Linked DNA regions of Schizosaccharomyces pombe. Changing the gene in region 1 together with any one later gene gives a genetic interaction. Each region holds a gene or a part of one and is shown in the gene's direction. Other genes may lie near its edges.

Evidence for each region.
Region 2: of nth1 (region 1) and apn2, a mutation in one rescues a mutant of the other (synthetic rescue), as found in Schizosaccharomyces pombe (3 studies listed by BioGRID).
Region 3: of nth1 (region 1) and mag1, a mutation in one rescues a mutant of the other (synthetic rescue), as found in Schizosaccharomyces pombe (2 studies listed by BioGRID).
Region 4: mutations in nth1 (region 1) and rad13 impair growth when combined (synthetic growth defect), as found in Schizosaccharomyces pombe (2 studies listed by BioGRID, with this or other methods).

The regions. Positions count from the first base shown.
Region 1 is NC_003424.3:1,104,115-1,111,287, reverse strand, and holds nth1 (DNA endonuclease III), read left to right. Parts: upstream 1-3,411; 5' UTR 3,412-3,447; coding exon 3,448-4,515; 3' UTR 4,516-4,758; downstream 4,759-7,173. Other genes in the region: AP-3 adaptor complex subunit Aps3, read left to right, coding at 170-436, 479-532, 995-1,171; transporter Hfl1, read right to left, coding at 1,178-2,233, 2,442-2,529, 2,585-2,721; Lsd1/2 complex PHD finger domain-containing protein Phf2, read right to left, coding at 4,759-5,035, 5,085-6,424. UniProt on the Schizosaccharomyces pombe protein: Bifunctional DNA N-glycosylase with associated apurinic/apyrimidinic (AP) lyase function that catalyzes the first step in base excision repair (BER), the primary repair pathway for the repair of oxidative DNA damage.
Region 2 is NC_003423.3:1,284,189-1,292,584, forward strand, and holds apn2 (AP-endonuclease Apn2), read left to right. Parts: upstream 1-3,200; 5' UTR 3,201-3,217; coding exon 3,218-4,010; exon of another isoform or gene 4,011-4,047; coding exon 4,048-4,826; 3' UTR 4,827-4,962; coding exon of another isoform or gene 4,963-5,772; 3' UTR 5,773-5,906; downstream 5,907-8,396. Other genes in the region: pig-A family phosphatidylinositol N-acetylglucosaminyltransferase subunit Gpi3, read left to right, coding at 1-137; mRNA-decapping complex subunit Lsm1, read right to left, coding at 301-474, 552-667, 716-784, 833-896; DNA polymerase epsilon subunit Dpb4, read left to right, coding at 1,955-2,127, 2,260-2,378, 2,417-2,757; SUMO-targeted ubiquitin-protein ligase E3 Slx8, read right to left, coding at 4,963-5,772; U3 snoRNA associated protein Dip2, read left to right, coding at 6,376-8,396. UniProt on the Schizosaccharomyces pombe protein: DNA repair enzyme that cleaves apurinic/apyrimidinic (AP) sites and removes 3'-blocking groups present at single strand breaks of damaged DNA. Provides the majority of the AP-endonuclease (APE) activity. Repairs phleomycin D1-induced DNA damage.
Region 3 is NC_003424.3:2,952,009-2,958,931, reverse strand, and holds mag1 (DNA-3-methyladenine glycosylase Mag1), read left to right. Parts: upstream 1-4,067; 5' UTR 4,068-4,107; coding exon 4,108-4,794; 3' UTR 4,795-5,204; downstream 5,205-6,923. Other genes in the region: SPOM_SPAPB24D3.07C (uncharacterized protein), read left to right, coding at 6-908; SPOM_SPAPB24D3.06C (uncharacterized protein), read left to right, coding at 1,918-2,868; SPOM_SPAPB24D3.03 (agmatinase), read right to left, coding at 5,290-6,516. UniProt on the Schizosaccharomyces pombe protein: Hydrolysis of the deoxyribose N-glycosidic bond to excise 3-methyladenine or 7-methyladenine from the damaged DNA polymer formed by alkylation lesions. Can release ethylated and propylated bases from DNA in addition to 3-methyladenine.
Region 4 is NC_003423.3:2,670,632-2,679,864, reverse strand, and holds rad13 (DNA repair nuclease Rad13), read left to right. Parts: upstream 1-3,295; 5' UTR 3,296-3,507; coding exon 3,508-6,846; 3' UTR 6,847-6,875; downstream 6,876-9,233. Other genes in the region: methionine aminopeptidase Fma1, read right to left, coding at 1-647, 708-753, 803-823, 876-992; SPOM_SPBC3E7.09 (Sad1-UNC-like protein), read right to left, coding at 1,269-3,248; SPOM_SPBC3E7.07C (uncharacterized protein), read left to right, coding at 7,121-7,168, 7,214-7,225, 7,287-7,314, 7,358-7,412, 7,468-7,691, 7,830-7,906. UniProt on the Schizosaccharomyces pombe protein: Single-stranded DNA endonuclease involved in excision repair of DNA damaged with UV light, bulky adducts, or cross-linking agents. Essential for the incision step of excision-repair.

The DNA.
Region 1 (7,173 bases):
TATAAAACCATGAAAATCTTAAATATAGCAAATTAACTAAGGCATTGAAAGAAATTTGTCGATCCTGGTTCTTCCAAACTACTATTAACGTATATTCAACTTAAACTTCAGCTTGCCGTTTACCAAGCACTGCATATTTGGGTTCTGCCAGCTTTCCCTTTCTATTGTCATGATTTACGCTGTTTTTATATTTAACAATAAAGGGAAACCTCGTCTCACAAAGTTTTACACTCCAATTGATGAATCCATTCAACAAAAGTTAATAGGAGATATATATGCAGCTGTATCCACTAGGCCCCCAACCGCTTGTAATTTTTTGGAAAGTAATTTAATTGCAGGTAAAAATAGAATAATTTATCGCCAGTACGCTACTCTCTACTTCGTTTTTGTAGTAGATGAAGGTGAAAGTGAACTAGGAATTCTCGATCTCATTCAAGTAAGTTGAAATTAGTTACTTTCCAATTTCTAACTATTAAAGGTATTTGTTGAAGCATTAGATCGATGCTTTAATAATGTTTGCGAGCTTGATTTGGTAAGTACATTTCACTACTCGTTTATCTTCCCATTATCCTACTGCTATATGTTTGAAACCATTGATTCCGTTTTTTTTTATTTAATTTGTTTTTTTCTTATTTGGTTTCGAATGTTTGGAAATTTGGCCTTACAAGAAACATTAATGTTTGTCCAATATTCGATTATCAAAAGAGCATAACATTTATTTTTATCATTTATTGAACTTAGGAACTACAAGAGTTTAATTCCTAATTCCTTTACTTCTCATCGCCTTCAAGAAAGAAATTATGCATAGAACTGGAAGTAGAGTCTCATTGTCGATGATTCGCAATCTCCAATGAAAAAAAAGAGGAGGTGTTAGTAATAATTATCCAAATACAAGTGTATACGCCAAAAAAAAAGGATATTGAAGGAAGAAATAATTAGAAGAGTTGAAAGCCATCTGTTTGAAAGCGAATTAGAAAGATCTAACACAATATAGGTTTTTAAATTCCAAGAAATACATGCTATTCTTGCTGAGGTAGTATCTGGTGGTCTTGTCTTAGAGACAAATCTGAATGAAATTGTTTTGGCAGCTCAGAATCAAATGCCAAAAACCAAACGGTCCAATGCAATGCCATTCAGCAATACATTAAGTTCTTTTGCTACTAGGTTCTAGTGACTTTTATGTATATGAAGAAGATGCATGAGTATTGTTCACTAGAAGAACTGGATAATTATAATCACCATAACGCATCTGTTTCGCTTGATTGTATAATGGTTCCATTTCATCGTCTATTTCAAATTGGAGCCCATTTTCGAAATGTGAAGTTGACATCCCTGGGATAGAAAAGTAGGACTTATTTGATTGTGGAGAGTTTTGACTATTGTTAATGAGACGCACTCGAGATTGATCATATCGAGAAATCCAGTATTTCGATTGACCTCCCTGACTGTACCGAAGACCATGACTTGTTCTATTAATCCTTCCATCGTTTCTTGAAGGTATTAAGTTCTCCCCAGGCTCAAAATTTTGATATACATAACGATCTCCATGTAGAGTTTGCAAACTATCGCACCAGACGTCTTTCAACCCGATTACGTCTTTAAAGGCTTTAAGGAGCGGTAGTCTTGCACAAGACAGCCATGTGGGTGTATCGTAATCCTCGATTCGAAAAGCGTACCAATGTGAGAGGGCAAAAAAGGGCATTTCTAAACACATGAGAACGTTCTGATTTAGTAAGGAGTAAATCCAGCCTGTTCCATTTAAAAGTCCCAGCCAGTTTGTAATGGAAAGAACGGTTTGCTGCCAGTAAGAGGCAAATATAATAGCTTTAACGGAAAGGAATTTTGGGAAAGGGCGAAAAGGAGCGAGCTCTTCATGCAAGCAAACCCAAAAAGTTGTTAGTGAATATAAAGAAAGCGTAATTGAAATGTTATAAACAAGACCTATCCAAAGGTCTGCAGAAGCATAAACAGGTTGATCTTCTCTGTCGTAGACTCCGGTGACTTTTGTTAACAGCACGGCAATCACCAGAAATGGTTTAAGCCAAGTGTATTGTAAAATCCCACGTTTTATAGAAAGGAAGGTGTAAGGATCACTTAGGTCAATATCATCTTGCAAATAATTCAAGGGCCATAACCTAGGACGAGGCAGATGTCCATGCAAACTAATAACTGCAGCCCGTTCTCCGCCAAGATAATCAATTAATAAACAGAAAAAGCAATACAAAGCGAATGCCTAATTTATTGTTAGAAATTATTCCATTAAAACCTCAATTACGCCTCATTAACTAACTAAACTAGTAAACCAACATAGTACAACTCATAACAGCCAAACCACTCTTTCAGTCAACCCCTTTTCAAGCATTTTAAAACAAATCTGCAATATATTGATTGCCAAGGAAGGTACTTCATTCAATGGCAACGGCTAAATGAGAAAAACCTACCTCGTAAATTTCACGAAACGGTTCGAAAATACTTCCAATTTTTTCATTGTATACCGATAAAAACGATACAGAAGAGTAAATTACAATCCTAGCAAAGCATTAGTACATTTCTATATCAGTCAAAGAATTTCAATTTTACGAACATCATCAAAATTCGCACCACAGAACGCTGTAAGACTGGTTTTTTGTAATTTTTCAAATGAGTAATGATAGAAATACATGATAGCACTAAAGCAATGGCTACGAAGAAGCCGCATAATGCGACTATTTCGTTGTCCATGAAATTAGAGCTGATCGTGATGAAGGGACAAAAATGCAGGCAAGGTGGCTACCACAAGCTATAAGGGGGCCTTCTCCAATTCCAAACAGATACTACCTACTACGGGCTTTACGGTGTTTGTACGCATAAGCTATAGATAAAGTACCGAAACTTTGTGATGTGGAAGAGTTCATCGAAGCTAATATTGATTTACCTCTTTAGTATGGATATTGTTTTATAGCAAAAGTAAATTAATAATACTGTCTTACAGGATAATTTGCCCTATAGCTGTAGTACTGCTGTAAAAATCATTTGTTTCCATAATACTAGCAATTCGTGATCTTTAATTAATCTAATTTTTGTTTTTTTTTTAAACTCTACTTTCCTCCCTTCTGTATGATGGAGGACCTAAAGTAATGTCTCCCATAGCATTCTGATGATTCTTAAGCTGACTTTTTGAAAAAGAAGCAGTAAAATATAATGAGTGTTTGTTTCTTAATGCGTAGGAGAATTTCGCCTTGGCATATATATGGCTTAGTTAAAAAATTATTTCTTTTATAAAATTGAGAAACTCCAAGTCAGACTATTACCGCATTGTATTCAAAACAAATCACTTATAAATTTTAATATTTTTGCGCTCACCTGCGTTGTTTCTTGGATGTAATATCGCTAAAGTTCAGTAAATGAGTTGTTGAAGAAAATAAAATCTTTAGCCAAGACTGCAGACAAATTTGTATTTGTTAAGCAATGAGTAAAGACTACGGAACTCCTCCTGAGAACTGGAGGGAGGTTTACGATGAAATTTGTAAAATGAAAGCCAAGGTCGTAGCGCCTGTAGACGTTCAGGGTTGTCATACATTAGGAGAACGTAATGATCCAAAAAAATTTCGATTTCAAACACTGGTGGCATTGATGCTTTCTAGCCAAACAAAAGATATAGTACTGGGTCCTACCATGCGAAACTTAAAAGAAAAATTAGCTGGAGGACTTTGTTTAGAAGATATCCAAAATATTGATGAAGTTTCTCTAAATAAACTAATCGAGAAAGTTGGTTTTCATAACCGAAAAACCATTTATTTGAAACAAATGGCACGTATTTTATCAGAAAAGTTCCAAGGAGATATTCCGGACACCGTAGAAGACCTAATGACTCTCCCAGGTGTGGGGCCTAAAATGGGATATCTATGTATGAGTATTGCATGGAATAAAACTGTTGGAATTGGAGTAGATGTTCACGTACATCGTATATGTAATCTTCTTCATTGGTGTAATACGAAAACTGAAGAACAGACTAGAGCTGCTTTGCAAAGCTGGCTGCCTAAGGAATTATGGTTTGAGCTGAACCATACACTTGTCGGTTTTGGGCAAACAATCTGTTTACCAAGAGGAAGGCGCTGTGATATGTGTACTTTATCTTCTAAGGGCTTGTGTCCTAGCGCCTTTAAAGAAAAAAGTGGCATCACAATAACTAAGAGAAAAGTCAAAACGATTAAAAGAGTCAAAAAAAGACCTGCTTCTGAGTCACCTCCTCTATCTCCACTCTCCCTTCCTACAGATGATTTGTATTACCAAAGCATCGAAGATAAATCACTTATAAAACTTGAGGACTTGGACCCTGTTGATAGTATATCACACATGAATGAACCTTTGAAAAAAGAACCAGCCGCTGATATTGATGTAGATCAGAAGCCACCTGTCGCATTCCATTCAACTACAAAAGAAACTAGGTCACTGCGCAGGTCAAAGCGAGTTGCAAAAAAATCATCCCAGTATTTCTCCCAACAAAGTTTACAAGATATTGAAGATCTGGTTTAATTTATTTTTAGGACCGTAAATTTTGGACAACATAAATCTGTTATTTATTTACATGAATTACTCAAAATTATTTATTCTTTACAACTCCGTCTTTAAACATATTCAAGAACCTTTTGCTACTGACTGTATAGTTATAATATCCTCTACCTTTACTTTTTAATAATTTTTTTAAATCTTGGAATAAATTGAAATCATTAATGTTGTTATACCCTTCAACAAACAATGCAGAATGTAAGATACTCGTTAAATACTACTAAGAACAATTGGAGTTTCGTCGAACATATAATAAGTACAAAAGTTTTCGGTTAAATCCTCTGTGTGAGGCGTATACAGCATCCAATCGATAGGAATGGGGCCGGTTATAGATATGTCAGGGCGCACTGATGGTCGATCGGCATCAAACGTTCTGTTCAGTTCATAGCTGCTACCCCTCGCATCACGTAAAACACGGTTTTTACGGACCAGTCTGTTTAAGCTTCGAGTTATGTTCGAATTTTTAATTTTTCTATTCGAGTATTTACTAGAATATTAGTAATTGACGATGTCAGGAAAATATATAGAAAACTTACGCTTGAATAGTGTTAGTGATAGTAGAAAAAGAAACAGCAGCAGGGAAAGATTCTAAAACTTGTAAAACTATTTCATCTTCATTGCTATATTCTTGTAAGTATTCATCTATGGTAGGAATTTTTTCACTCTCCATGTATTGCTTATCCACTTCAACTGGTTCGGTCGAAGGTAAGGACGTCGAATGCTTGGTTGTTTTCGATTGTGATTCTGTTCCATTATTTAGACTTAGATACTGATCTCCCGTTACAGGTTCATTCATAGTAGCTGTAAAGGCAGACCTTTTGCTTTGGAGCTCTTGGACAATAGTGGAAGTTTTAGGACTATAGAACGGGATGTCGGGATGTAATTGCTCACAGAATAATAGGATGTCAACCAGTTGGGAGATCGGAAGACTTAAAAGATAAGACTTTTTCTCTTCCGAAGACAGATTTAGTTCTCGTGCCGTAGTTCCAGTTACGAGAGGCGCTTGCTTTTTTCTCCTAATGCAATCATCACAAAACCATTCTCCATTGGGGGAATCTAAAAGTTCATCAGAAATATAGGGTTCATGACAAAGTTGATGGAATGGAGTGTTACAACCATCACAGAAAACGATGCGATTTTTTGGTGGAGATTGAAGTCGTTGACAAACCGAACATTTCATAGCTAATGCGACCACAGGTCGACGACCTGGGCCACGTCGTCTAGTAGGTAATTTTACAAGGGGATCGAAATGATTAGGGCGATGCACTTTTCTTCCTGATTTTGTTTTGACACCTTCCAAATTAAATTGCTCTTCCCTACCATCTTCAGTAGAAAAGAGGGCGTCAGCGGTGTTGTCACGTTCAATAGCCAAACTGGCAGGCCATGATCTTTTCCGAGCAATGTTCATAGCAATTGACATAGGAGGTAATGGCGATGAACTTGCAGGAACATTTGGGGGTAACGCAGATTTTGTTTGGGAATCAGCACTTCTATGATGCGCATAATTAGATGAAGATGCGTCTTCAGTGAAAGGTGCCTGTTCGCTTTTTGCATCGGTTTCCTGATTTTTACTAGATTCTATTTCTTTAGCAACATCATCATTTTTGTACGAACCGAAAGCACCTGACTCCTTGTTTGGCTCGTGAAAGTGTTGGAACTGATTTTCCAAATGCATGTTTGAATTCACGTTAGGATTTTGTATATCCTGAAAGGCTTGATCTATTAGCACAGAGCCTCCATTTTGATTAGATTCCTCCCCCTCAAACATCGTTGGATGCAAATCATTGGGAAATCGACGACTACCGTCGAATTGAAAAGGATATGATGCCGCTTCAAAAGAACCGCCATCGTCGTCATAGTACGATGAATTCGGCATTAGGTTTTAAATCATTCATATGCTCATGTAAAAAACAAATGAAAAAATGAAGCAAATGGCAAAAAATGCGAATGTGTAAGTTCAACACGCGTGTTTGGAATTTAGGTGAGATTTAACGCAACTTATAAATCGTTTGCTGCTGTTACTCCAATTATGTTTTGCTAGCGAAATGAGATTGATCATCACTATATCTCGCTTATTCACTTCTCACTACAACTCACTGTCTAGTCATATATAAATACTGCACGTATCCATGAAGAGCTGAAATCTCACATTTATTAGAGCTTTTTTATTTTTAATTTTGTTAAATTTAATTATTCATGCATTAACTAGTCATAGCTATAAATATGAATGAAAATTTGGTCTTTCCTTTGTTTATATTTCCTAGATGGCCTAACAGCTATAATTGATTGAACTTGTATGCTATTAAAGGCGATAAACAGACTTCTTTAGTACTTTGCTAAAGAAAATATAATTGCAATGATCCAATTACACTGGAAATACAGGTATAAAAAATCGTCACAGTTTGGAAACAAACAATGCTTTTTTTTCTGTGGCTGTTGTGTAGCTTTGCTAGTATCATAAACTCATTGTACACTAGCGCAAGACACACTATACAGTAGTTAGCGCGAGGTATTTTATTATTCTTTCCAACTTATTTGTAATGAAGTTCAAATAAACAATGGGTAATTTAGTACTACTAAAGTCCTTGCGTTATTTAAAAGGTTTTTGTTTGAAGTTAGTGGTAT
Region 2 (8,396 bases), on another chromosome or scaffold:
CTGATATTGACCCAGCGGTTGACCGCGTATCCTCTACTTTCAAAATTTCTAAGCAGAACTTTGACGAATCTCTGGTATTAACGGACCCCAAAAAAAAGACAAAGATAAAAACTGCATGTTTAAAAGATGCACAATGATTACTAAACTTTGAACGAACGGTAATGGGATTATGACGATTCATGTCTTAAAAATTACATTACATCCATTTAAAAGGGGAATAAACAGCGGTCGAGATAGCTTTCTATCGTGACTGTAAACAAACGGTATAGCAATATTGTGATAAATTTGTTCAACCGTTGTCTAATACAAATCATCATGTCCGCCGTCAACACTAAAGCCTACAGAATGAAGGTACTTGCCCTTCTCACGTATATTTTTCTTCTTCTCTTCTTCATGAAGCTTCGCCAAAGGATACAGTTCTTCAGCAGGCATACGTCGCAATTGTTTGACTGCATCATACTCCTTATCCAAATCCTTTTCGAAATATTTAGCCCACGTTCAAAGAAATTTATAAAGATGCTCGAATATTTTATGTTACAAACGAAACTTACCAATTCACCTAAAAGCACGACGTTCTCGCCCCGAACAATATACACACCTCTGTCTATGTCCCCGTACATATCATCCACATAGATCCTCTCAATCGTGTATTGCAACATTAAATTTGCTACACAGTTAGTAAACTCACTTATGCGCCTATTCACGCAAACCATACCAAATTGATCAAAGGACCTTAAAATTCCAATCAGTTTTTTTCCATCTCGTAAAACAACAATCACTTTTCCTAAAAGGTAAAGTTAGATCAAGGAAAACATTGGAAAAAACACCGTACTGTCTACGTAGTCAACAAGTGACCCAGAAGTTGTGAATGGGATAATCTGTGTAGCTTGATTCATTCAGCTATTATTTGGATGTAGCATAAACTAATAATTTAATTTAGATTTAACTTTCTATTTCTTTTATAAACGCCTGATGACTTTATTTGAGTGTTTTCCTTAAAAAACGAGTTCGAGGAGATGGTTAGAAGCAAGTGCTCTGAGGTCGTCAAATCTGGAATCCTAAATTCTCCCTGTTTAACCCTAAAAGTGCTTCTGAAGTTTAAATGTTATTCGTTTGTTATGTTTTTTTGCTAATTGTAAATTAAATTATTTGGTTTTTCCATTTCTAAACTTGCCCATCATTGAATGTTGTAATCTGACTTTCTAGTTATAAAGGGAAGTCGGTCTTCACAAAAATTAAAGAACAAAAACATGTATATTTTTGATCACAGATTGTAAAAAGGGAATCTAATTATACTCAAGCTACCTAACAATTTTTCAGCATCATAAGCGGATTAGTTCATTGAAAGGCTCAACATTTTGCGAAGAACAGAAATAAATAATTTGATGATTTTTATCAATTCCAAAATCGAACTTGTAAAAATGTTGCCAATCCCATTTGTAATATCCCTATTCTGAGCTATTTCGACTGAGAAGAGATTGCCTATTATTCTCTTAGAACGTTCATTGAACGTTTTTGGAGTGTTCTGAAAAAAGATAATAAATTTAGTTGTTTTTATCTATTAATTACAATCAAAAATCGAGCCTTTAATAATGTATTGTATGGTTATCAAAAAGCTTTATTTATTTCTAACAACGCTAAAAAACTTTTTTTTTTACTCATTTAATATAAACAAAACAGTACAACTATTTAGTTTTAAGAAATTTGATAGCATTTCTACAAATGTTTCAACTCTAAGGCTCTCTCGGATTCTGCTCATAACGCACAGATAGTGTTTAGTGAAAATTGACAGAAATAGGCGACTCAGTGAATTTATTATACATTAATTAGCTAAAAAGAAGCAACCGCCTTTCTCTGTGATTATCGTTTGGTGACCATAGGATGATATTTGGATTGGATTTATAAAAGACTTGTATACAGCGTTTGTAAAAGATCTAGCGGCTGGAAAATCAATATGAATCAAGATAAATCGAAAGAAACTTCCGAATTGGATGATCTGGCGCTTCCTCGATCGATCATTATGCGATTAGTCAAAGGTGTCTTACCTGAAAAGAGTCTTGTACAAAAAGAAGCTCTCAAGGCTATGATCAATTCAGCAACTCTTTTTGTTAGTTTTCTAACATCCGCGTATGTAATCTATATAACTATATAACCATATTGAAGGGCTTGTATGATGAAAGAATTTATTATATAATTGCCAATTTTATTTTCTTCTGGAAACACTTTGTATATGAATGAATAAAGACTAACGTTACTTAGTTCTGGGGAAATTGCTACGAATAATAACAGAAAAATTCTTATGCCTCAAGACGTTTTGAATGCGCTCGATGAAATTGAGTATCCAGAATTCTCTAAAACGTTAAAAAAACATCTCGAAGGTATGTTTCTTACTCTGTACTTCTTCTAACTATTAAAGCATATGAGCTTGCCTTGAAAGAAAAACGATTGAAACTCCCTAACGTATCAGATGTTGATAACAGAAAGAAAGCCAAAATAGACGCGCATGACACTACTCCTCTAGATGAAGAAAAAGACGAATTAGAAGAAGAACGAATTGCGGAGGATATAGCACAAAATGAAGTTGAGCAAAATATTGATGATGTGGAGGACCTCGAAGAAGTGAATGATACATTAGACGCAAACGCAGAATCTCCTCAAATAGAAACCATTCATCTTACAGATGCTACGGGAAACCCAATTGAAGATAGCTCTGAATCCGACTCAGAAGAATCTCTTCAACTTAATGATTCTTCGTAATTACTGTTGGTTAAATGTATATGAAGATTGTCAATAGTCCTAACTTACATGGAGAGCTAATCATATTTTTTTACACGAAAAACTAAACCTTCTTTATTTTTTAATGGATTTTTTGGATACCTGTTAATACCCCAATTTACATCCTTGTATCCAAACATAGCTTTTTTAAACAGCAGTTTGAGATAATGTCTTTCTAGCACAACATGTATACTCGTTTAATGACATATATTTAGAAAGAATCATTAGATTGTTTACAGTTGTAACTCAATATTAGTCAATCTAGAATTTTTTTGAAAATCAACATTCAATAGGGAGAAGGTCGAAAAGAAAAGAAAAAGTTCATTCTCGAATTAAACAAATGCATTTTATTTTCCATCAGATTAACTTATGTCAACAATTGTAAATTCAAAAGTCTGTCGCCTTTACCTTCGCACACTTTCTCTACGTAAAAATTATAAGAATGCGAATTCTAAGTTGGAATGTGAACGGTATACAGAATCCATTCAATTATTTTCCATGGAATAAAAAAAATTCCTACAAAGAGATATTTCAAGAGTTACAGGCTGATGTAATATGTGTTCAAGAATTGAAAATGCAGAAAGACAGCTTTCCTCAACAATATGCAGTTGTTGAGGGATTCGACAGTTATTTTACATTTCCTAAGATCAGAAAAGGCTATAGTGGGGTTGGATTTTATGTAAAAAAAGATGTTGCTATTCCAGTGAAAGCAGAAGAGGGAATTACTGGCATCCTGCCAGTACGAGGACAAAAATATTCATATTCAGAAGCACCGGAGCATGAAAAGATAGGATTTTTCCCAAAAGACATTGACAGAAAAACTGCTAATTGGATTGATAGTGAAGGAAGGTGTATATTATTAGATTTTCAGATGTTCATCCTAATCGGTGTTTACTGTCCAGTAAACTCTGGAGAAAATAGACTAGAATATCGACGGGCCTTTTATAAAGCCTTACGAGAAAGAATTGAAAGATTGATAAAGGAAGGAAATCGAAAAATCATTCTCGTTGGGGATGTGAATATTTTGTGTAATCCTATTGACACTGCTGATCAAAAAGACATTATTCGAGAGAGTCTTATTCCAAGCATCATGGAATCAAGACAATGGATACGTGATTTATTACTACCAAGCAGGTTGGGACTACTGTTGGACATTGGCCGTATTCAACATCCTACTCGGAAAGGAATGTTTACATGTTGGAATACAAGACTTAATACAAGGCCCACAAATTATGGTAAGTTCTGAATTGTTATTTTTTTTACAATGGATAGGTACGAGAATTGATTACACTTTGGCAACACCCGATTTATTACCTTGGGTTCAAGATGCAGATATTATGGCTGAGGTCATGGGTTCAGATCATTGCCCCGTATATTTAGATTTAAAAGAAGAATATGAAGGAAAAAAGTTGTCCAACTTTCTAAGTCACTCAAAAGAACCACCTTTACTATCAACGGCGCATCATTCAGCCTATCGGCCATCAAAAAATATTCATTCAATGTTCCAACATTTCAATTCGATGAAAAAGAATAAAAACAACTCACCCACTCAGAGCGAAAACGTATCTGCTTCTGCGTCCAGCGGCTCCTCACCAACTGTTTCTCGTGCAAACTCTGTCATAGACGTCGATGCCTACCCACCGGAAAAGAGAAGACGAAAAGAACAATCGAAGCTTCTTTCATTTTTTGCGAAGCAAAAGGAAGAGAAAGAAGAAACCAATAAAACAGAAGACGTTTCGATTGAGGTCCTTGATAACAATAATGAATCTGACATAGGGTTGACAGTAAAAAAAAAAGTAGAAAACGGGAACGCCTGGAAGCAAATATTCAGTGAACGAGCTCCTCCACTTTGTGAGGGTCACAAGGAACCTTGCAAGTATTTGACAGTGAGGAAGCCGGGAATCAATTACGGGCGGAAGTTTTGGATTTGTGCCAGACCGGTTGGTGAACTGATTAAAAACTCAAATGCAGTTTCTGAGGAAGATACTCAACCGTTCCAATGCAGGTTCTTTATCTGGGACTCAGATTGGAGAGCAAATTCAAAGGACTGAAAATTTGTAATGACTAGCATAACTTGCTCTTAATCAATTCTCAATTTTGATGTGTATAAACCGCAAAAAGCATTGAGCAGTGCATCACACATCTTTCATTAACATTCTTAATATGTATATACGGAATTTTGTACGGTTAAGATTTCTTTTTTTGAGATCCGAGCATCATTTCCAAACATATAACTTTGTTTGGATGTACTTTTCTTCTGCACACCGGACATTTTTGTGTGGCAGCCGTTGTACCTAAAGCACTTAGTATACAAAAATTGCAAAATATATGCCCACAGGGAGTACAAGATAGGTTTTCCGGACTATCCAGACAAATTACACACTTATAATCAGCTAGTCGTTGTGAAGATGGAACAACCTGTTTTTTGCTAGGTTCTTCTTTTTCAATTTCGGCGTTGGTGGTCGATGGGTTCTTTCCCTGTTCAAATTTTTGTTTTCTTGGATCATAGGAAGTCTCATCAGTTAAATCAATCATATCGCTTATAGTAGTAGGTTGCGCGTGAATACTATTAACATTTGTTAAACTGTTTTCAACGGAAGCTGGATGATTGTTGTAGGTGAATCTTTGATTTATGTCATCAGCATCATTCTGAAAATTAATGTCTTCCAAGTCGAATACTTCACTTTCCACATCTATGTTTAAATCAGAGGTTTCAACAGGTAGTGTTTCTTCTTGTGCTAGCTCCGAAGCAACCTCTCTTAGCGACCTTGGTGCACGATTCAGTGGTAAAGACTCATTCTCAGAGGTAGTGCCTGAAGGATAGTCTGTTGCATCTTCTGAAACCGGAAATCCGTTTCCTGGCGAATTCTCTACTGGAGAAGAACGTCTCCTATTTATTGCTGCATTTCCAGCTGCGACTCTAGCGGATTGAGATGGGATATTGTATGGTGCAGATAAGTTTCTAACGTTGGTATCTCTCTTATGTGCGGGTGGCATTTTTTTGCCAATTGGTCCTGAAATTCGAAAATAGTTTATAGATTATTGATTAATGGGCTAATATTAGGATAATTTTGATCGTATCCTAATCGATTGTCAAATGCTTTTCAGGCTTGCTAGAATAATAAAAGAGAATTGTGTTAACGTCAATATACGCAAACAGCAATTATTTTGGCAACTTGCCAACAAGTTTAAAATTAAATTTAGTAGACCTATGATTTTTGAAGTCTACATGGAAAAATTGGCTCACTACCACAATGTTGTAAGATGCTAGTCTAATTAATATTTATGACCTTTTTCATGAGCACATTCAATAGCGCAAGCGGTATTTCAAATAAGAAAAGAGAACAGAAAAGCTGGTAAAACTTAATTGTGTATCAATAATCTTTTCAATGCAGTTCATTAAACTGCGCAACCGACATTATTATGAGTATTCCATAAACTATGCAAAAATGTATTATGGAGTGCATTAAGGAATGCTAAAATAAAAAAACGATAACAATGTATATCGCTATTTCTTTTCCAAATTGTTGAATATTAGAGGAGTGTATATACTTAGCATCAACCAACGCCTTTTTTTTAATCTAGGTCTGGGTAGACGCAATGGTCAAAAGCTATACGCGGTACGAACCAACCGAATTTTTTGGTGTCATTGCGTCTTCGGGATGTAATATTCTCGGTCAACCCTCTTCGTCTGCTAAATCTGTAGGCAGAGCCATTGTTGGCGGTCTTGAGTCTGTTTTGGAATGGGATTTAAAGACTGGGCAATTACTATCAAAATGGAAGGATTCTGATTGTTCGGCAAAAGTTACTTGTATTGCAAACTTTGATGAAATGTACGCTGTGGGCTATGCAGATGGTTCTATACGTCTTTGGAAAGATGGAGAGCTCTTAATAACTCTTAATGGTCATAAAAGTGCTGTTACTACCATGGATTTTGATAAAATGGGCACAAGATTGGCCAGTGGAAGCATGGATACCGACATTATTGTATGGGATATTGTAGCTGAAACCGGCTTGTTTAGACTACGTGGACACAAGGACCAAATTACCAAGCTTTTGTTCATTACACCTCCTTCGAAGAATACAGCTGAAGAAACAGTGGTGGACACAGATATTGATTCCGGCGACATGGACGTTGACAGTAAATCGTCTGATTCGTTTCTTTTGTCTGTTGGCAAAGATTCTTTTATGAAGCTTTGGGATTTGTCTATTCAGCATTGCGTTGAGACTCATGTCGACCACCAAGGCGAAATTTGGGCTATGTGTGTTTCACCAGACGCCAAACGGTGCCTCACTGCTGGTACCGGTTCTGATGTTAAAGTTTGGGAAATCAGTTTTCCAGATGACAATAATTTCACTCCAACTACTAAAGCATTTCAGCAATTAGGTACCTTTACCCGTCAAAGCCGTGACCGTCCCATCACCTTGGCTTACGACGTTTCAAACCGTTATGTTGTATTCCAAGCTCATGACCGTCTTCTGGAGGTTTTTCGCCTTCGATCAAGTGCGGAGCTCGAAAAGATTCTGAATCGACGACGCCGTCGTAAAAAGTCTGAGGACGTTTCGATCACGTTAAAAGACGAATATGAACCTTTTGCTCTAATTCGAACCACTGCTCGTGCTTCGTCTGTAGCTTGGATACCAGGAAATCGTACACCTACGTTGGTAACATCTCTTCAAAATAACTCAATTGAAGTTTACGCTTTGGATGTCAAATCTGAAGGTTCTGCTGCACCATTAACTGAACGGGCTTCGCGTATAAGTGCCATTGAAATTCCTGGTCATCGTGCTGACGTTCGTACCTTGGCTTTGTCCGCTAATCACGATGTGATTTTAAGCGGTGCTAACGGCTCTTTGAAGCTTTGGAACAAGAAAACCACATCTTGTATCCGTACAATCGAATGTGGTTATGTACTTGCTGCTAGCTTTATAAATAACGACAAGTGTATCGTATCCGCTTACAAATCAGGAGAACTTGAAGTCTATGACATTGCTAGCTCTTCTCTTATCGAACGTATCCAAGCTCACGATGGCGCGATTTGGGATTTAGCGGTTGGTCACGATGGCACTTACTTCGCGACTGCCTCTGCCGATCACACAGTCAAACTCTGGTCTCTAAAATCGTCTTTTGATTTCGTACCAGGTACCACTAGAAAAGTCACCACGTTGAAATTAGAGCAAACACGACAAATAGATTTCACAGACGATGTCCTTGCGGTTAAAATTTCACCTGATGGTCGTTTCGTTGCTGCTTCACTATTAGATAATACCGTCAAGGTATACTATTTGGATTCGTTGAAATTCTTTTTAAATCTTTATGGTCATAAGCTTCCAGTTCTCTCTATGGATATTTCTTATGACTCAAAGTTGCTGGTTACTTGCAGTGCCGACAAGAATGTCAAAATATGGGGTCTTGATTTTGGCGATTGCCACAAGTCTATATTTGCACATCAAGATTCTATTATGGAAGTCACATTTCAACCAGATACTTACAACTTTTTTACTTGTTCAAAAGATCGAGAAGTTCGTTATTGGGACGGTAAATCATTTGATCTAATTTTAAAACTTCGCGGTCATCACTCTGAAGTCTGGGCATTAGCTGTTGGTCCAACTTTTGTTGT
Region 3 (6,923 bases), 1.8 Mb from region 1:
ATTCAATGAAGTCATTCGTTTGGACCTTGTTGGGTGCCCTCTCCTTGGGTTCCCTCACCACCGCTTATGGTGCCAACGCTTCTAACTCAAGTGTTCCCACTCCTGATAACACCTTGGTTGTTAGCTACACCAACACTTCTTGCTACACCAGTGGCCCTCTTTCCCCTGACACCCGTTTCAACAGGACTACTAGGGGTACTTTCTCTAAGGTTCGTGATGCTCTCAAGTTCCGTCTTAATGGTCCTATTCACCACTGGGATATTGCCAATGAACTCTTTGACACCGCTTTAGGTGTCGAGATTATCGATACTCAATACGGTATTAACAATCGTACCTCTCGTGACTGGTGCACTGCTGTCAGCGCTTTGGAGAAGGGTGACTTGATCGAATTCGCTGCTGCCTTCACTGCCTTCGATGATGTTAACCCTACCAAGGAGGTCGTTCCTGACGCTTTGGTTGGTACATTGGCTCTCTGGGCCAAATACAGCTACGAGTACGACTTGACTAGCATTGTTAGCTTGTTCGGAAAGAACTGGACTGTTGATGAACTCGGATGGGGAACCTATATTGCTCATAGCCTCAACGAGATCAGCAGCAACACCACCGGTGCTGCTAATGCCACCCTTTTCATTGACACTCAAACCAAGAGCGACTGCTACAAGTTGGCTAGCACCATCGAGAGCTGGAAGTATGCTCCCCTTTCCGCTTTCCCCAACTATGGTCCCTTCTATATTTATGGACAATGTGTCGCTACTTTCACTTCTGGTTACAGCCCTCTCGTTGAGCCTGCCTTCACCTTTGCAAGTGCTTTGAACACTACCTTGAACTCTTTCCCCAACGGTACTTTGCCCACTCAGACCCAAGTTGTTGGAGACATCGGTGTCAAGTTCCTTCAATACTTTGCTTAAATTCTCTCGTTTTTTGATCCCTATTAATTGACGAAAAAGACGGGTCTTTACGTATGAAACTCTCCTGTTAATGCGATTTGCTGCGAAAAGCTAATCCCTTTAGATAAGTTATCTCAAACACGGTCTTGAAACTCCTGGTTAATTGTAGTCGTTTATCGTCTTACATAATTTATTCTATGTGAAAATAAAAATCACTTTTGTTTAGTTATGTGGTCACTGTTGTGAAAAGGTTTATTGTAATGTATTCTCTCAGTAGTAGTAATTGTAGTGAGTAGATAAACGTTTACTGTATTTTCGTCTAATTGCAATTTTATGATGTTCAGTACAAGATATAACTTACTCAATCTTTTTCGATTGGATACATCATACAAATCAAAATTGACACCACTCAAATCGTTAATTGCCATTGTATGCATCTTTAAACTTGTATTATCGCACATATCCACTTTTCTGCTAGTAATAATGTTATCCAACTTTCATTTAGAGCGATATATCTCTTTCTCATTAATCATTTTACCAAGCTGGGTTTGTGAATTCGTTCCAACTGCGACCATCATTATTTGAAATCCATAGTGGTTTATGGAAAGCTACATAAAGCAAAAGCAAAAGAAGGAATTGCAAAATTCGTACTTTATAGTAGCTGAATGATCTATAAACAATAATTTTTGGAAAATACTAAGCAAATAGTTTCGAACGCCTTAAACTCTTGAATTGATTAACTTTTGTACAATCAACTCCAAGCTTCAATACCTAAATTTACTAATTCAATCCTTCTATATGAGATTTCTATAATCATATCTTAAACTTGATTGTAAACCGGATTGTAATTATATTATAAAGCACGCGATCAAAATAGTGAGCTTAGTTGTTGTTTTGCTGATAATGGATAAGATATAATCCTTGCTCATATCTCGTATTTGAGCATCGTATGAATATCTACTTTGTAAGGTTAGGCGAAAATTATTCAACTTTCAACATCTAAAAATTTGATTCTTTTATTTATTGCACGATGTCAGCCTCGCATCCTGGTATTCTCCATGAGTACACAGAAAGGCTTGTTGCTTTCGAGCTAGTTGGAAAAAGTAACGTTACACTTACATCCAACGTAACTCGATCATTATTGTTATTTGTCGGGGGACTTGGCGATGGTCTTTTGACAGTACCATATGTTCAAGAACTGGTCAATCCATTAGATGAAATTGGTTGGAGTATTGTACAGGTTCAAACTCAGTCCTCGTATATAGGATGGGGAACGGGAAGTTTGAAACGAGATGACGAGGATTTACACAAGGCAGTGGACTATTTTTTGCACATTGGAGGCGCGGACTTTTCTACTCGCAAAATCGTTTTGATGGGACATTCCACGGGATCGCAGAATGTACTATACTATCTTACACAGTCCATTCTTCCAAACTACTTAATCGCCGGAATAGCACAAGCTCCAGTATCGGATAGAGAAGCCGCGTATCAATTTAACGGGAAAGAAAAAACAAAGGAATTGGTTGACTGGGTTAAAGCAGAATATCTTGACAAAGGACTAGGAAATGATGTTTTACCTAGAAGCAAGGTAGAGAATTTTTTTGGTGAAGTTCCGACATCTGCAAATCGATGCATTGACTTGACAGATGTCCGCGGAAATGATGACTTTTTCTCCTCTGACCTGAGCGCCGATGATTTCGCTAAAACTTTTGGTAATCTCAAAGAAATCTCCGGCTCCACAGCACATAGTCAGTTGATACTGCTTATGTCGGAAAGGGACGAGTTCGTCTCGCCATCAACTGATAAAGCACAATTACTGAACCGATTTCGCGAATCAATTCGTCCTACAACTTCTAATAGTTCCTTAAGCGGCATCATACCGGGAGCTACACATAATGTCGGGCCAAAATCTTCACCAGAAGCTTTGAAATGGTTGATAAATCAACTTATAACGGCTTTAAGAAGCTTCATTGATCAATAAAGATTCGTAATACATAGAATATGACTTTAGCGCTAAAAGTCACGTAGAACAGTTTAGATAATTGTGATCCGGATGAAATATTCGACAAAATCTCGCAATGGAGATTTAACAAAAGTAATGTTTTAAATTCAAAAGCATACCCTTAAGCTATCAAAAGCTTCCTCAAAGTTGGAGTTTGATAACTTTTGTGATATTTTTTATCTTTGAAGTTACTTTTGAAATGCTATAAAAGGTATATTGAGAACAATTCCAGTTACTAATCTACTGTTTTACAAATTAAGACTTAATGTTTATCCCATTCCCTTCATAGCGCATTTATCCATTTTATACGTGTTAAGATTATATAACAATATTCATCTCCATACTTCTGTCATTGTAAATTAAGGCGTATAGTTACTTCAATTGTATTATGAAGACAACTGCAAAGCTTCTTTATGTTCAACGTCAATGCTAATTAGAGAAAGTAAGCTTAGTAAGGTGGATGAATAATTCTTAAAACACTATGCTTTCTTTATAGCTATTCCATCGTTTTATCCATTTTATGCCTTATTGAACGCCCAATATTTCTTTAATCTGTCATATACTCTAAGGTCGAAGAGTTGTTACTTGTTTAACGGAAGTGGTTAGTTTCCTCTGACTCTCCTTTACAACATTTTACATCTATAAAAGATCTTTGATACTAACTAATGGAAAAAGATATTATATAAATTGATCGTTTCCACCATATTGTTTTCACTGTCCAAGACGTAGAAGCCACCTGTGAGTTCTATGAGCGCACATTAGGAATGTCGGTTATCGCATTTGGAAACAATCGCAAGGCACTCGGTTTCGGTCATAAAAAATCAACTTGCATCAAAAGGGTAATGAGATTGACCCAAAATCACACATACTGACTCCTGGGTCAAATGATATTTGCCTAATAGCTAAAACACCCTTAGAGCAAGTCATTGCTCACTTAAAAAAGCAAAATGTTCTCATAGAAGAAGGTCCTATTACAAGGGCTGGAGCTGAAGGAGTTATCCTCTCTATTTATTTTCGCGATCCAGATGAAAATTTAATTGAAGTTTCAAATTACATCTAAGAATGTTGAATTTGCTTCAAGATTCCTTTTTTTTAGCTTAGGACTTGCTTACATAAATAACGAATTGCAGTGCAATTCCTAAGGAATGAAAACCCTTACCGTTTAGTCAAAAGCACATAATGAGTGATAAATTTTTGATCAATTGAATCTTTGCTATTATGACTTTGGACATTGAAGAGAAAGAAGAGATAGTCACTTCACTCACAAAAGCAGAAATCCATCTTTCTGGATTGGATGAGAATTGGAAACGGCTCGTGAAGCTCGTTGGTAATTATCGACCCAATCGAAGTATGGAGAAAAAAGAGCCTTATGAAGAATTAATTCGTGCGGTAGCATCTCAACAATTGCATAGTAAAGCTGCTAACGCAATTTTCAATCGCTTTAAAAGTATTTCTAACAATGGCCAATTTCCAACACCAGAGGAAATTCGTGATATGGATTTTGAAATAATGCGTGCCTGTGGATTTTCAGCTCGTAAAATTGATTCATTAAAAAGCATTGCTGAGGCAACAATCAGCGGTTTGATTCCTACTAAAGAAGAAGCTGAAAGGCTCTCAAATGAAGAATTGATAGAACGACTTACTCAGATTAAAGGAATCGGAAGATGGACAGTAGAAATGTTACTCATCTTTTCGTTGAATCGTGATGATGTTATGCCAGCTGACGATTTGAGTATTCGTAATGGATACCGATATCTACACCGATTACCAAAAATTCCAACCAAGATGTATGTTCTTAAGCATAGTGAAATATGTGCACCTTTTCGTACTGCAGCAGCATGGTATCTCTGGAAAACGTCAAAACTTGCCGATTATACAAAGCCTGTTAGGCCGAAGAAACACTGAAGGACAGATGTATTATATATTTAAAAGTAAAAAGTTGAATTCGATAAGTTTATTCCTGGTTGGTCTTTTACATTTTATGTACGCTTCTTTTTATTTTTGGTTTACCAATTTATAGTATCTTTTCAATCATTTCTGAATAGAATGTCTACGTCCACTCAGACGAAGCATTTTCGTCACATTACGCTTATATAAAAGAAGTGATTTTTTGGTGAATGATGGCAAAAATAACAAAAGGGAGATGAGATGTTTTAATGGGTTCATTTGCAAATATTTACAAAACACTCTTGGGTGGTTAAGAAAACCCGTTTCTGCTACATTTGTCTTTTACTTTATGTGATACAAGATAGATGACGCTCAGCTGTCTCTAACGATATACTTGCGTATGATATGTTAATAATATAATGAATAATGATTTTTTTTGAACATGCTCATTTCTGTATCTGTATCTATGATGTCGATATAAATATTGAATATTAAATAAACCAGTTATTTCAATTATTTATGTATTGGCATGTAACGAGATAAATCAGCCTCTTTTACCAAAGGATATTTCACCATCATAGATACAATGTCAAATAACAATTGCGCACCAGCCAAGGATGTTATTTCTGCAACATCGTAAGCGGGAGCTACTTCGACAAGGTCAGCGCCTACGAATTTCAGACCTTGCAAACCACGTAAAATTGCTCTCATTTCTCTAGATGACCAACCGCCAGTTTCAGGAGTACCCGTAGCGGGTGCAAATGCAGGATCAAGCACATCAATATCAATGGATAAATATACCAAATTATCACCAACTCTGTCACGAATCTTTTTGACGATACCATCAATCCCCAAATCATCAATTTCACGAGCCTCAATGATTTTGAAACCACAATCAACATCATCATCGTAGTCAGAGAAACTAGAGATAGGAGTACGAATGCCAGCATGAATGTTGGCATCTTTGCTCATAATACCTTCTTGACTAGCAAAGTAGAAATAAGAACCATGGTTTATTCCATCTGCTTCATCGCCATCGCCAATCAATCCAGGAGCCCACGTGTCTAAGTGGCTATCGAAATGAATAACTGAAATAGGTTGTCCGTAAACACGATGCAAAGCTCGTAAGATGGGAAGGACAATGGTATGGTCACCACCGAGTGAAAGGACTCGAGGAAGCACAGTATCATTTTTTGCAAATCCATCATGGTCAGTAAAACTGGAGGGCTTTCGAGCTATTAGCTGGAAATATGCACTTTCTAACTGATCCATAGCTTTAAGAATATCATACGTGGTGACTGGAATATCTCCACAATCCACAAGCTTTGCCCATGATTTGAAAGGATTGATTTCAAGAGGTACATTCACTGCACCGTATTTAGTATTTATGCGTCGAGATCCTTCACGCAAACTGCTTGGACCAAATCGAGCACCAGGGCGGTAAGAAGTGCCTGTATCGAAAGGCATTCCTATAAAGGCAATATCAAAGTCCTCTGACCTTTTACTCAAACATTCAACATTCTCCAAACGACCAAACGTCGCAATCCCTGAATACATAGGTTCGACTATACTTGAGAATTCTACTTCCTCATAGTTACTAGGTACAGCATAGAATGGTGATTGTTTTTCCTTTACGAAAACTGGATTCTTCTCCTGAAAGCCCAAGCCCATCCTCCCAGCTTCTCCAAAGCCAGAAAGTAGCAGAAAAACTCCCCATGTAAACCATTCAACACTTTTCATAATTTCTTGTAGCTACGGTTCTAAGACAGTGAAACTGGCCTTTATATACTTTCAAATTTAGGGCTAATACAAGCCCATCATATCAAAAATCTACTAATCGTATAACTCATTTTATGGCGAATATCGGCGCCTGTATTGCAGAAGTACTGTATAACGGAGTCCATGGAGAAAAATGGCCGATAAATTTTACTGCAAGCATAGGGGGGTGGTTAGGAAAATAAGCTATCGATAGGTTTGGCGGAAATCTAAAGCCTTATTGTTTCTTATTTCATAGAGATGAACCTCGACAAGATAAATGAAAAGGGTAATAGCTTATTGAAATCTCTTATCCTATCCAGAATTTAAATAGAACTTACTTAATCAATAGATTAAGCAGTACATTAGAAAGATGATCATCATCTTAATTA
Region 4 (9,233 bases), on another chromosome or scaffold:
CTCAGTAATGCTATTTGTATGCTTTTCAATAATATTTCCGAATTCCTGAAACAATACTCCCGGTTTTACCGCAGCAATTGCTTTATCCAAAGCAATTCTCGTATTTTCTACAAGGCAAACGAGGTCAGGATTTGCTTTTGCTTTATCTCCAACATAGTAAGTCTCATTTAGGTCACCATGAAAACCGTTATGGTAAAGGGAAACATCAATGTTTACAATATCACCATCCTCAAGTGGCCTTTGATCTGGAATTCCGTGACAGATGATTTCGTTCACAGAAGTACAAACACTTTTTGGGAACGCGTAATAGTTAAGGGTGCTTGGAAAACAATCACGTTCAATGCATGCATTATGAACAATACTATCAAGTTCATCGGTAGTTGTTCCAGGACGGACGGCAGCAGCGGCAGCATCAAGTACCTCTCTACCAAGTCTACATACTTTACGCATACCTTCCTGCTCCTTGGGTGTCAATCTCTTCAGTTTGAAGCTTCGACCTTCAATTTGCTCGCTACGAGAGACTCCTGTCTTCGCATAGTCAGGTCTTTTTATATGTGGAGGAACCTTGCGTATAGGCGAAAGCGGATAAACTGGTTTCAATGAACCTGCGAAATGAAATTTTGGGAAAGGATTGTAAGTTCCATCCTCTGATGAACAAATTAGAAAAACGCTTGAAAATAAAAGCTATATACTTTTGTTGTACGTACCTCTCTTTTCTACATTCGGTGGACGATGAAGATGTTTGTGAATATTCTGGATTACCTAGTGTTAATTTACGTTACACGAAATTTTCTTGTATTACCCAGCTGTTCCTGAAGCATTCCTTTTTTTTTTTGAATTAGTAAATACGTAAACTAACAGAAAAACTAAATTACCTGTCCACAAAAGTAAGATTTAACTCCGTCATTTAGACATTTGGGACATTGCAGTCTGTCAGCTTCATTATTACAATCTATACCGCAACAAATATGTTTTGCAATTTCAGTAGCCATATAAATACTTTGTCTTAAGGGTATCACTCGCCTTAGTTTCTAGACTCGAGAATTTCTAGTCACACTAGTGCTTCGTAGCCGTGAAGTACATTAATGTCGTTGGAACCTATATAACCCAATGCCACTCTTTAAAGTTATGATTTTTGCAAAACTAAAAAAATAACTTTAATATATGCTTTTCAGTTTTTAAATAAATAATTCATTTTTCTAATTTTAATATGAATTTAAATCATTAACTTATGAAAAAATATGGAAGTTTCACAATACATTCTATGATTAGCATACTGAATGGCTCCTAGAATGTATAATTTTATCTTGTTCTCTTTCGTGTATACTGCGTATGCTGGTATTTGGATCTCGCTTTTTTCTTTGCAGTAGTTCAGGTCCAACGGTATAAACCGCTGAGGAAGCGCTAACGCGAAAATCGTTGGCCTTCGAAATATCTTGCTCGTCACGTGAAAAAGGTGGTCTTGAAGCCTCAATAGGGTTGTTTGAAGATGAACGGGTTGTTGGCAGATTTTCTGGAAGCCTCGATACGGCCATATACACTGTTAAAACGATTAGAACCGTGAGTTGAAGCATTAAAAGTCGCTTTTGAAAAGATGATTCTTGATATAGTGAAGTAATTTGACTCTGAAAGTATTCATTTTCTGCAGAAAGAAGCTCAAGTTTAGCTTGGAGAGCAAACAAAGACGGCTTAACGACACTTTTCGACAATTTCGAAATTTCTAATTGAAGGGTCGAGTTCAATTCATGTAATAGCTGCGTAAAATTCATGTTTTTGGCATTGTGCTTACCATAATTTGTTAATATTTTTTCTACAATTTCATCAAATGCCTTCTTCCGTTCTTCTAAGGTAGAAAGACGCTTATTTATGTTTTTGTAAATGCTTTCCTGATTAGAAGGAAAGGTAGATATTTGAGCGGTACTGTAAGAAGATGAAGAAGATGGAGAAATATCGTTAAAAGAGCGAGTTGATGTTGCAGGATATGATTCACTTTTTCCTGTTTCATTTCCTATAACAACAGTGCTCAAAGACTTAGATATCACAGTAGAAGAAAGTAAGGTGTCTGTACTATTCAACTCGACTGATGGATTCTTTCTCACTGGTTTGCTTTGAACATCGGTATCTTCTTCGTCCACAAAAATAGGACTTTCTTGAGGCTTCCGGATTTCATCTGCTTTAATAGCGCTTCCGTCGTTCACTTTTTGTTCTAAGAAGTCTTCATTTGCTTCTTCAAATTCTTCTATCATAGTTTTTCCATAAACCCTAAGTAGGCTTACAGGACAATAAAATTCTGACCCATAATGAGTTAAAAACTCTATTTTAAGATACTTCGCCCAAATAAGAGGGTTCTCAATATGAAAAGATTGAAGAGTCCTTAGGTTTAAGGCCGTAAATGTACCCAATTCCATCCAAGAAGACTCGTATTTTGGATATTTACCGCTTACACTGACCTTGAAATCACGAAATATACTTGAAAAAAATTCGAAGTTGGCAATTTGAACTGTATCGACATAAATATCCTCACAAAGTTCAATTACCACGAACTTGTTTTCAGCGGAACATTTGTTCAGCATATATTTGTCTTTGTTTTCGGTCAGAATCGAAGAAGATCCGACTGCTTCAGGATTTGTTTTAATGACAGCAGCAGCGCAGTCAGTTGAAGCAAAGTTGAATCTTTTTTCTTCTGAGAATGCAACAGTCTTTTCATCTATATTTGAATCAATTGTAGCTGCTGCTGAAGTAGAGGAACCATCCTCAGAAATTGGTAGAGTAACCGAAGAACTAGTAATAATATTAGTATCAATAACTTCCGTTACAGAATAGTTTTGCTCTAGCTTCTTTGAGGATGAAATTGTAGACGTCTCGTTCACCAATGGTGGGCTAATTGAATCTATAAATTCGCTAGTACTTGTTCCATTGGAATATTCATATTTTGACAAAAAATTAGAAGAAATGGTATCACTTCCATTCAAACTCGTTTTTGTGTGAAACGAAGGTTCCTGGTACTTATTTGTGGGAGTGAAATCCCATGTTGTAGGGTTGCTAGCTTCTTTTTCTTCAGATTTGGTAGCAATCACAGAAAGGTACGCATCACATACCAAATTTTCGTTATGCGTATCTGGTGACTTCAAACACAATGCCGGATATTTACACCAATGACTCGTTTGTGGAGAGCAGCAGCATAACCGAAATATAATAAAATAAATTAAAAAGGCATTTCCAAATGCAGACAATCTTCTTTTGACCATATGATTTAGGCAGCCCTATCAGTTTAATGTGGTAATTGGCTCAAGTCAAGTGCCACACACTAAAGTGTTAGCATCAATCATCGCACATGCCCTTGTTTTATCGCTTTGTTGGTAAAACATGTCTTTTATAACGATTTTAATTAAAAAAGAAGAAAAAGGGTAAAGAAAAAGGCTTGCTTTAATCACATTTCTTCGTATAATAATCAAAAATAAAGTCGTCTACAACGAAACTTCTTGACATCGCATATAATATTTTGCAATGGGGGTTTCAGGTCTTTGGGATATTTTAGAACCGGTAAAAAGGCCTGTCAAGCTAGAAACACTTGTTAACAAACGGTTGGCAATTGACGCTTCAATTTGGATTTATCAATTCTTAAAGGCCGTACGTGACAAAGAAGGAAACCAGCTGAAAAGCAGTCATGTTGTAGGATTTTTTAGAAGGATATGCAAACTATTATTTTTTGGGATTAAACCTGTATTTGTTTTTGATGGAGGAGCGCCGTCATTGAAACGCCAAACTATCCAAAAAAGACAAGCCAGAAGACTCGACAGGGAGGAAAATGCCACGGTCACGGCCAATAAACTTCTGGCTTTGCAAATGAGGCATCAGGCAATGCTTTTAGAGGAAAATAATAAAAAAGCTACTGCATTGGCAAATGCCTCGGTTCAAAATGAGAGACAAATGCCTTCATCTATGACATTGGATAATTCAGAAATTAAGCCAGTACTTAATCAAAGAAAAAATTATTTGAAGCCTGATCCATACCAACTACCTGAAATGGACGTTTCGTTTGATAAGTTAGGGTCGAGTTACGACCCTCGAATTATGTCCCAGGATGAGCTTACACAATATGTCTCTAGTTTTACTAAAATTGAAGATATAAATTTATTTGATTTTTCAAATATTGATTTTGACTCTGAATTATTTCAATCATTACCCGATACGGATAAATATAGTATTTTAAGTGCAGCAAGATTACGCTCTCGTTTACGAATGGGTTTAAGCTCTGAACAACTTTCCGAGATGTTTCCTAATAGAATGGATTTCTCTCGTTTTCAAATTGAGAGACTGAAGGAACGTAACGATTTAACTCAGAGATTAATGGACTTTACTGGAATGAATGAGTTTGGACCCTCTAGAGTAGTAAGTGAAAAAAACCGAGAATATATTTTAGTAAAAAACGAAGGTGCTGAAGGTGGATGGGCTCTCGGTGTTATCTCAGGATCTACAAACAATGAACCTATTATTATTGATGATGAGGCTACAAAACTTAGCAGCAATCTTATAGACGAAGACGAGGATGAGGCATTCTACGATGTGCCTTTACCTAGCCGATCTCATAGCATGAACCCTAGAGAATTGGTAGCCGCTAAATTAAAGGAAATAAAAGAAAATTCATTTTCGGAAAATCAGCAATCAGATGAAGCAGATTATAATGTTACTGATGATTTAATACTTCAATTAGCAACCCAGCAATCTCTAGAGGAAAACAAAAAATCAAAAGAGCTGTTTAGTCTTTCGGCTTCTGAGTTTGATAAGTTGAATAGCGAGAAAAAGACGTTTGAAATTTTGTCGACCGATATTCCTGCAGAGGATTCAATGAATTCACTTCTTAACGACGAGGAAAATTTGAAACTTGAACATGTTGGAGATGTTTCCAATGATTCATTAGCATTCGCGGAAAAAAAGCATCCTGAAAATGGGACTTCAATTTTTATGGATGCCCTTCCATCTGCGAGTAGAGAGAAAAAAACCAATGATTTAATTGATCCTTTACCTTTTCAGCCTATGGATTGGGGAAAGTCTATTTTTTTCGAGAAATTAAAGAAACCAACTGAAACATTTATGGATTCTAAAACTGATATACCAAGTGAGGCACCGGATAATTCTAAACTTGTGGAAGATACAAATTTACATACTATTAATGCAACAGTTAATATTGAATCCGATTTAGACGCTGCTAAACCTGGAATTGAAAATCCAATTATTTCACCTCTTCTTCCGGTAAAAGATGATGAAAAAGATTTAGACTTACGTGAACTCAATCCTTTGGAACCCTTTGAGAATATGAAAGAACAAGCTGATGATGGCACAGTTACCAACCCATTAAATGTTTCTAGTGATAAGGCCATGTCAGTGTATTTATTGAGCTCCGAAAATGCTAAGGATACTGGGGATATCAAATCCGAATCAATTGACGCTGTTCTTCCTACTTTAGAGACCAGCAGCCCTTCACTTAGCATTCCAACTGACTTTCAAAAAGAAGCCTCTCCAAATAAAGGAGCTGCTGCCTTGAGTTCGAAAGTAGAGCCTGAAGTGGTTGAAAAACTTTTAGATGAGGAAGAAGAGGAAATGATTATCAGGATGGCAGAAGAAGAAAAGGAATATGATCGGTTTGTTTCAGAACTCAATCAACGACATGAAACTGAAGAGTGGAATCAAGAGGCCTTTGAAAAAAGGTTGAAAGAGCTCAAAAATCAAAAAAGGTCTGAAAAACGTGATGCGGATGAGGTCACTCAAGTAATGATTAAAGAATGTCAAGAACTTCTGCGTTTATTTGGCTTACCATATATCGTTGCTCCTCAAGAAGCAGAAGCCCAGTGTTCTAAACTTTTGGAGCTAAAGCTGGTTGATGGGATTGTTACTGATGACTCAGACGTGTTTCTTTTTGGTGGAACTCGGGTATATCGAAATATGTTTAATCAGAACAAATTTGTCGAACTCTATTTAATGGATGATATGAAAAGAGAATTTAATGTGAATCAAATGGATTTAATTAAGTTGGCACATCTTTTGGGAAGTGATTATACTATGGGACTTTCTAGGGTAGGTCCAGTTCTTGCACTGGAGATTTTACATGAATTTCCTGGTGACACTGGACTTTTTGAATTTAAAAAATGGTTTCAACGTTTATCAACTGGACACGCATCAAAAAATGATGTTAATACGCCAGTAAAAAAGAGAATTAACAAGTTGGTTGGAAAAATTATTTTACCATCAGAATTTCCTAATCCGTTAGTTGATGAAGCTTATCTTCATCCGGCCGTGGATGATAGCAAGCAATCGTTTCAATGGGGCATACCCGACCTTGACGAGTTACGCCAGTTTTTGATGGCTACTGTGGGTTGGTCAAAACAACGAACTAATGAAGTTTTACTTCCGGTTATACAAGACATGCATAAAAAGCAATTCGTGGGTACACAGTCCAATTTGACTCAGTTTTTTGAAGGTGGTAATACTAATGTATATGCGCCGAGAGTTGCATACCATTTTAAGAGTAAACGGCTTGAAAATGCTCTTTCATCTTTTAAAAATCAGATTAGCAATCAAAGCCCAATGAGTGAAGAAATTCAGGCAGACGCAGATGCATTTGGTGAATCTAAAGGATCAGATGAACTACAAAGCCGTATTCTTAGAAGGAAGAAAATGATGGCAAGCAAAAATTCCTCTGATTCAGATTCAGACTCTGAAGATAACTTTTTAGCAAGTTTAACTCCGAAGACGAATTCTTCTTCAATTTCTATTGAGAATCTACCTAGAAAAACCAAGCTTAGTACTAGCTTACTAAAAAAACCCAGCAAAAGAAGAAGAAAATAAGTTTAATAAATTATTTATTTATTTGTTTACTTAACTGGTTGTTCCTATAAAAGAAGTTACTGTAATTTTTTGTTGAGTAAATTTTTTTGAGTTTTCCTGCTGTAACTGTGTTTAGACAAAGTAATTGAGCAACATAGCTTATATTTTGTGATTTATTCGTGTTTTGATTATTTACAATTTTTCTTGCTCTTTGTTACCTTACCTAATGTCACTTTCTACTACAACCTACTTAGCAGCAGTAAAGTAAAAACGGAGAAACAGAATATTTTTCGAAATGTTAAGTACAAAAATTGATGCGGAAAATGCGGAAAATGCCGCCGAGGTAAGCCTTGGTTATTATTTATTTAATAATACTTACAGATTTTAGATTGAAATGCAGGTACGTGGTTGTAGAAAGTATTTAGTTTTGGTAAAGCATGTACTGATTTAAAAAATTTTAGTTTGCAGTAAAAGCTGTTGAACAGGCTCGTAAGTTGAGCAAAATATGATGGAATAAAAAATAACAATTTAGAAATATACTGGAGTCTTTTGGAAATGCGCAAGGGAAGCGAGTTAAAGCTGACAAAGTAAGTATATATTTACATCTTTAATTTAAAGTTCAAATTGCTTACTATTGAATAGATACGATGATGAGATTTTTGAAGATTTAATAAACACCTTCCCCGAGTTTAAAGACCCTAAAACAGCTTCTTTTGTTAATGAGGATGAAATGAAGTCCGCCAAAGGAAAAGCTGCCTGGCGTCCATTTTTAATGCGCTATGAAAAGAAGGTTGACGATTACAATTTTGGTACTCTTCTTCGTATTAAGAATACTGATGAGTATGAGCAAGAAACGACTATTTTTGGTATGTACTAGGAATCAAATTTAATGGTCTAAGAAACATGGCCATTTTTTAAGTGCCATTTTTTTAAAAAAAATCGTTTATGCGATCCATGAATTTCCATATTTTAATGTTCTATTTTATTTAGCTAACAAGTCTTAGTCCCTCGTATGCAATTTTTGGCCTACGAAATCGCCCGTAATAGATACGGTTTGAACGATTGGATTAAAAAAGATTAGACCTTGTTAATAAATATTACAACTCATCCAAATTTTTCTGAAGGAAGTATTTGTACAAATGATTGCTCCGTAGTTAGATAACATATACATTGGTTTTTCCTAATGTACAATTACAATTCAGAATAAAATCAAAACAAGTGGATGAAGGTCATATTTCCTTCTCTTATAAACGTATATCAAACAAAATTCATAGTGCTTGAGTAAGAAAATGTTATTTTTTCTAAAGTTACTAATTGAGAATTGTGACAAGTAAACAACAAAACCAAAGAGACCAGATTTCCTATGCTAATCAGAGTGATGTTTACAATTAAATCCGTCCTGATTATTCGACGTTTTTTTTTTTTCTAACAAAGTGACTCACAACTTGTTTAGATTTCTAGATATTGTGTAAGGAAATAATTTTTGCTAAAAGTAAACACTTTAAAGAAATGATACTAATAATATGAAGGACTGCAAACTTTATATTTGAGTATAATAATTCTTATAATTATATGAGAACAAAGTGCATAGATTTACTTCAGTGCAAACACAGATATAAAATTGTGTCGAGCTTTATGTTTCTAACTTCTAATAGCGAATCTTTAACCCATTGAGCATTTCAATTATGTAGCACTATTTCATACGTAAGGGCTGCATACTTATTAACTATTTTTTTTCAGAAATCTCAACTTGAATTTTACTAATTCATGTATTTACAGTTAGCAAGATGCTTCTTTTTTTTCGTAATCATTTGAGATGTAAGACGCCGGTTAAGAATTTGTGGGATAAACAAAAGAAATTACGAGGACCACTTACTTAGTCTATAAGTTGATTTTGCCGACCATAGTAAAGGTAACTGCATAAAATTATTGGTATTTAATTCTACCTTACAGAATCTCGAGAATTACTATATACTTAAAAAGAATTTCATGTACTTTTTCTGCAAAATAATTACAAAATATTGATGAATTTATTACTGGTCAATAAACCACGAATCAGTATACCCACTAAAAGCAAAATTTCGGTTCGCTTGTAAAAATAACAAAAAAAAAATATTATTATTAATAATAACAATGAGTTTCGAAAGTTCAGAATTCATTTGAACGAAACAATTGCGTATTTAAATTTCACAATTAAGCAAAATACTTGAAGTTATCAACAAAGGGTCCATTCTGCGTTTCAGGTGCATTTCATATTCTTTGACTTTTTATGAAGCAAATGCGAAGTTACACAGAAGCAACTATTTTTCAAGCAAGTTTGTTTGAGCTCACACCTAATTTGAATATATAGATTAGATATAATTTGTTCATCTTGTAATTTTACTTATAGATCAGAATGCTTTGTTAAG